Caenorhabditis elegans: one gene and its partner. The protein of the gene in region 2 interacts with the protein of the main gene of each other region in a pairwise test. Each region holds a gene or a part of one and is shown on either strand. Other genes may lie near its edges.

What was found. Proteins that work in one complex are often made in the same cells at the same time.
Region 1: the proteins of msp-77 (region 2) and mafr-1 interact in a two-hybrid assay, tested with the Caenorhabditis elegans proteins (one large-scale study listed by BioGRID).

What each region holds. Positions count from the first base shown.
Region 1 is NC_003279.8:10,621,173-10,624,931, reverse strand, and holds mafr-1 (Repressor of RNA polymerase III transcription MAF1), read right to left. Parts: upstream 1,760-3,759; 5' UTR 1,755-1,759; coding exon 1,672-1,754; intron 1,622-1,671; coding exon 1,282-1,621; intron 1,233-1,281; coding exon 1,111-1,232; intron 1,060-1,110; coding exon 867-1,059; 3' UTR 571-866; downstream 1-570. Other genes in the region: arch-1 (Protein archease-like), read right to left, coding at 285-461; Laminin subunit alpha lam-3, read right to left, coding at 3,619-3,738.
Region 2 is NC_003282.8:9,892,811-9,895,634, reverse strand, and holds msp-77 (Major sperm protein 77/79), read right to left. Parts: upstream 1,005-2,824; coding exon 621-1,004; downstream 1-620. Other genes in the region: ssp-32 (Sperm-specific class P protein 32), read right to left, coding at 119-217; sss-1 (Sperm-Specific family, class S), read left to right, coding at 1,938-2,078, 2,124-2,592, 2,640-2,824. UniProt on the Caenorhabditis elegans protein: Central component in molecular interactions underlying sperm crawling. Forms an extensive filament system that extends from sperm villipoda, along the leading edge of the pseudopod.

The sequences.
Region 1 (3,759 bases), on a different chromosome or scaffold from region 2:
AATGCAAAATTAAAATTTTATTTTAATCAGTTTCTTGTAGAAATTGTGGGTTTTGTTCGAAAATGAAGTCAAGAAGGCAAAAATTGAGCTTTTTTCTGGGAGCAGCTTCAAAACTAGAGAATACACGAACAAAAGCTAAAATTTCTACAAGATATCGATTTAAATTGCAATTTCATATGTTCATAAGCATATTTCAAGTGAAGTAAGAAAAATTAGACAAAACAGAGGAAAGTGGAAAAATTCTTAAAAGGCGCAAGAGGCGATCTAATTCAATTTCAAATTACCTCATCAACCTTGGCCAAATCCGTCATATAGCCGAACATTGATACGAGGCATGCTTCGAAGGCTTCTTCCATTGTGGATCCCCAAGAGTGAAGTTGAATATCTGCCGGATGATCGAGATATTCGAATCGCCGACGTTCGATCTCAGAACGATCTTCGATCATTGATGTGCTCGGCATTATTTCACTGAAAATAAATTAAACTGAACTTAACCAAATAAATTTGAGGAAAAATTGATTAAAATATCAGAACGGTTGAAACCAAAAAATAATCGATTTTGATTAACTTAAAAAAAACAATTTTATGTATTTATGATGCGGTTTTTGTGAAAATTGATATCTACGAGCCACGAAAAGGAATGAGAATCGAAGTATTTGTTCCTTTAATCTAGCGGTAGGTGTGTGGGAAGTGGCAAATTAAATGCGAACTCGAGAGGTGAAGGAGGAGGTTGAGGATTGATGAGAAATGGAATCTATTTACAAGAGAAGAACTACAAGAGGGAAAGAGGCTTGGCCGGCAAGACTAATACTATATCGCCTTGAATATTAGTCTATTCTAAGCGTTCTACATGAATAATCTGCACTCTATTTCTCTTGTGGTTCCGCCTCGTCTTCACTGAAATCGGGGAAAATTTCGATGGACGTGTCGGCTTGTTTCGATAGGCAACGAATTGTGAGAAGAACAAAACGTTTGAGTCCTTTGTTGTAGAAAATGAAGGCAAGTGCCCAAATGCAACCGTCTTCGGTAAACGGATCGTCTTCGAATTGGGACTTGAAGCTGAAAAATATGGAAATTATATAAAATATCCTCTCAAATCAAACGGAATACCTGTATATTTGACAGTCACCGGGCACAATTGCCTCATCAATAATTCCCCATAGCTCTTCTCTTCTCACGTGATAGTCTCTGACAATTGTCTCAAGCTTCATATCAACGAGACGGCTCAGGTCCTGAAAAATCATGCGCGTTAATGTTATTTAGCTGTAAGAAGCTACTAACCGAATAATTGACGAGAGCAAACGCTTCACTGTTGGCATTACTGAAATCGTGATCCGGAAACGAACAGTTCAGAACTTGAGTCAGATCATACAATTTCTTTCGCGAAATTGAGTCTTTTATCAGGTAGTCATTCACGTCGAAATCGTTGTCTGATCCTCCTGAGCACGAGCGTTCCGATAAATGGCGAAGCCGATGATTGTGACCAACACTGGGCGATGCACTCATCACCATTTCCTCGTAAGATCCTAGAGGCTGGCGTTCACCCCATATCACAGATTTATCGTTCGATTTCCATTGTTTCTTTTCGCTAGTAACCATTTTCGACGAATACGTTTCTAATCTGAAATTGAACGATTTGTTTTATTCTTAATATTGAGATAAATGACTCACTTGAAATCAATAACACAATCGATTGCTCCCGTAACGAGTGTCTGCGAAAAAACATCCATTTCGGAGCTTTCCAGAAACTTCATGGCTTCTAAAGCTTTTCAATAAATTTCGAGAACATTTGGAGAATTCAAGTGCGGAAAAATCCTACGTAATGAAGATTGCAATATTTAAAATCGCGCATTTTGAAAACAATAATTTAATTTTTAAATTTTACACTAAAATAACAATTTTAATTACTTTTTCAGAACGATTTATCGTGAAGAAAGGAAAAACTGCTGTAAAAAAATCCCATTGATTTAGCAAACTGTCGGCAACTTCTGTGTAATGTGTGCAATATTGTTGTTGGTGTTTGCGTACTTGTCTACCGTATACCTTGGGGGTAAAATGAAATTTGTTAAATTTCGCTTCGAAAGTCGTTTTGCAATTAAAAACTATAGTCAAAACTAGATTTTCAAATAATTGATGTCACAGGGGTCTAGAGAACGAAATAACACGACCATTTATGACAGAATCAGGAATATTTAGATTAAAAAATTAACAAGTTTCAAATCAAATTTTCAAAAGGCAATGAGATTCACAAGTTTTATATTCAATACAAGAATTTAGTGGAATTAATTAGTCCATTTTGGTTCATAAGGTGTTACTGAAATTGATGATATTTGCTATAACTTAATGGGAAACATGAGAAAAAACCTGTTTGAAAATTAGTTTTGCACCCTCTATTAGTTTTGCATCAAATTAGGTGTCCGAAAATTAGTTTTGCACGTCTTACTAATAGAGGATATACGGTATACGGAAAACAATTTAAAAAAATATTTTTATTTGAACGACCACGTACATCTTGATAAGGACTGGTATATGAGCAAGTAGTTTTAGTCATAGTGTTCAGTCTTCAACTTTTCAACAAATGGTCTGCCAAGAAGGATGGGAAGATGATGCCAATTCAACAATTCCGATGCTGTGAACGAAGATATGAGTATGCAAGGAACCTCCGAGTGGACCTCGGACGATGGAGCCGATTTACCTACAGTCGTGTGTGAATTGGAAACCAGTTCACTTCAACCAAACGGAATATTAAAGTGAGTGCGGGTCAGAGGTGTAAATCTGATGTTTTAAAATGTTATAAAACATAAAGTTTACAGCTTTTTGAGTATTGAGAGTATGAACCTTTTTTTTCAGATACTCATACTGGCATATGTCACAAAAACCCCCCGGACAAACTACTCAAGACGAAACGTTCAAAGGATAAATAGAGGAGACAGAGGAAAAAGAAGACAACTCCAAAGTGGGAGCTATTTTGTAAGTTTGTTGTTAAACTCATAAGCTTGTAGATGGCTTGCCTCAATACATTTACAAATAATGTCATATTGGTGTTTATTTCAGGAAGTACAACTGAATCGATTGGAAATTAACGTCAGGATGTGGATTGGAACAAGTAGCTGGAAGTGACTGGAAACCCTACTGTGTCGACGGCGGAGGAGACATGGTGCATGGATGGACAACTGAAACAATTTGACAGCCAGGCTACGTGAAGCTCAATGCTCCGCTCTGATCGACAGTATCTGCCTCCTACCTGCGTTGTTTAAGTAAAGCTGCAGAGATTGAATTAAAGTAATCCATCTGAAAAGAGCATCTCTATTTCTCAATCATTTCGTGTTTTTGAATTTGAAACTGTGCTGTTAGATTTTGAGAGCTTGAAATGGACGTAGTATTGTTTCATGTAGAGAGAAAAGAATTTCGAAAATTGATACAGTGAGCGACGTTCAAAATCGTGGGACACATTTTTTTTCAGCAAAAGCTGGTTCCAAAAAATGTGCAAACTCACTTTTTTTTAAATTTAAAATAGTTTATTCGAAGAAAAAAATTAAATTAAAATTGGCAATCAACAAGGGGCTTTTTTGAGAATCATATTCAAATTCAGGAAGAAAATGTTACAAATATAGAAATTTAATTTTTCGAATTACGCTTTCTTTTTGATGATCTCTTAAGTTTGCATGCTTTGGCGCATGGCATTACATTCTTGGAAGTTGATGGTTCATCCAGGTTATTGAATATTCTATTGTTCATCTAAAATACTATTAATATAAA
Region 2 (2,824 bases):
CGCAGTTAATTTACGATATGTCCATCAGAAACCTCAGAAATTAACTGACTCACAATGCACACATTGCCACCGGAATGGAGAATACTGCGCACATCGCTAATTAACAGTTATCGAATACCTTAAACGCCATTCGAGATTCGTTCACTGACGTAATTGTGTGCGTGGAACTTCCTCCTGACGCTGGAAATGTGGCAGATGGAGGTTCGATGGTTAGCATGTTCAGTTGAGAAATGAAAATGATTGAAAATAAAATGAGTTTACTTTGTTTTGAAATTCGAATGTACCCACGTGGTCCAACGTTACAAAGTTGGCAAATTTCAGTGAACTTCTAGACAGTTTTATTAAAAAGCCATTTCGCATGTTAGTAGGAATTGCAACAAAAAATTTCTACAGGAAAGGATGTGGAGTCAATCGAATTTTATCTAGTAGAAATAATAGGATTCGTGAGCCCGGTTTGCTTCGATTAATTTGTGTACATTCTTTGTATACTTTCGAGACTTGGTTATATTTAAGCATGGAATTTAAGCCAGCTGATCAAGAGGAAGAGCTCAAGTGAGGCTACATTTTGTTTCAAAGAAAGAACAAGCATTCATAAAAAACTCTTTTATTTCACAAGGACTCTATGGGTTGTACTCAATTGGGAGGTTCTTACGACGAGCCATACCGTCTCCCTGGAACCATTCACGACGGAATTGCTTGGCAGCACCATCCGGGGTGTTGGTCCACTCAACAGTGATACGGTCGTTGTTGGTATCCTCTTGTCCGAAGGCGAAGGCATCGCAGGAAACAGCAAGAAGCACAGCTTCCTTTGGGTCGAGAACTCCACATGGTGGATCAACTCCAAGTCTCTTCATATTGGTGGTCTTGATACCATATCCAATACGCCGAGCCGATGAGTTGATCACCTTGATGTGGTAGGTGTGCTTGTCATCGTATGGAGCATTGAAGACGATCTTGGTACCCGGTTGAGTTTGGATGTCTCCTGGTGGGACGGATTGGGCCATGGTCGTTCGATGAAGGAGTTATGAGAACTCTATGAAGATTATGGCAAAATCTTCCAAATTTATAGCAGCCTTCTTATCTCTGCCCTAAATCTGGAAGTTCATCCAAAAATAGGAGATCACGTTGAAATTTGAAAAAAAATCAGTTTTAGCTAGTAGCTATTTTGAATAATTTCATCAATTTACACTTGTTCTGATACCTTTGAGTAACAAAGGAAACCTATTCGTTTTCTGTGAGATGCTAATTATTAATCTACTTGTTTTGTTTTTGTTTTTTGTCTAGAGGATAAGGAAATGAAGACTATTTATTAAACTAATTTTGATCTAGTACTACCTCTTCGTTTTCTGTGATATGCTACTTGTATTAAGCTACTTATATTGCTTTTTTCTTTTGCACTTAGGTGCAACAAAAATACTAAAATTGATCTAGTATTGCTTGATCTATTTTGATCTAGACCAGAAACGGTAACTTTCGGCAGTTCGGGTTGGGGCCACCTCCAACTCTATTGTAAGCAGACCAAGCAGGCTCACGATAAGATCAAGTTCTTCAATTTTCAGAAATTCTCGATTAATATTATAATTTTTTTGAACTTTTGGCTCATAAGGCAAACACTATACATACATATACAACGAATTTCAGCAATGAAAGGATACATTTATTTTTGAGAATATTGTCCAAAAAATGTCTTTGTCGCATTTTTTAAACCTTAAACCTTAAATCTTCAGGTGTTGCTATTTCCCAACTTTTGAAACATTATATCAGGTAATAAAATAAAAAGATTTCAATTCTAATTTTACGTGACCGTTTGTTCATTTTCTACGCTTAAACTTAGGCCATCAAGATAAGACTGATTATATACAAGCTTGAAATCATAAATCTACTTATTGCGAATTTCATCGCTCTACTAACCAACTACAATCAACTCTACTAACACTATGGTCAAGAAGATTACTGTCTACACTGCTTTTGGACAATTCCTCGAGATGATCGAGCGTCAAGCCGAACAGAGAAGGGAAACAGTTCCAGTCATTTGTCCGATCGTTGAAAAGGCTCAGCCAAGGACAGCTTTGAACAAGGTTTGTACAACGAGCTGGATTTTAAAACCAAGGGTCATATTTTAGGTTCAATCTTGCCCAGTTGTTCCAACAACTGCAAGAGTTACAGCGGAGATCAAGAAGAGCATTAGCTGCCCATTATTGGCTCTCCAAGCAGATCAACTGATTGAGGTGACCGTCTCCCCAGTCCCAACAACTACAGAATCAAAAAAGATCAATGAGGCTGCGGAGCTTATGGCCAATTTCTGGATGAGCTTTAATTGCCTTGATAACGAGAAAGAACAGATGGAATCGATTTTTGAGAAGATGAATGGATTGTTTGCTGCACCCTCCACAACATCTACGGCATCACTTTTCGGGAAGTACGAGGGATTTTTTGAGAAAACGGAGGTTGCTACGGAAGATATGAACACGTTTTTGTGGAATTCTCCAGCTCATCCATCTTTCCCACAACTTCCAGTTTTCGTCAAATCTCCAATCGACTCGATGAAAATATATGGAGCAGTTAATCATAAATTCGATATTTCTGAAGATGGTAAGTTTTTTTGAAAGTAGTTTTTTTTAAATATTTATTAATTCTAGAATCACTCCCATGCACGGCTCAATCTGTTTCATCTCCAATTTCTCCATCTTCTACCACCTCGGATTCTTCAAGTGAAACAATCATTCTTGGACCTGGACATCTTCTTCAGGAAGTCTACTTGCAGAGAATGGTCATTGAAGAACAGAAGAAGATCATTGATAGCTTTCATGAAATTCAGAAGCTC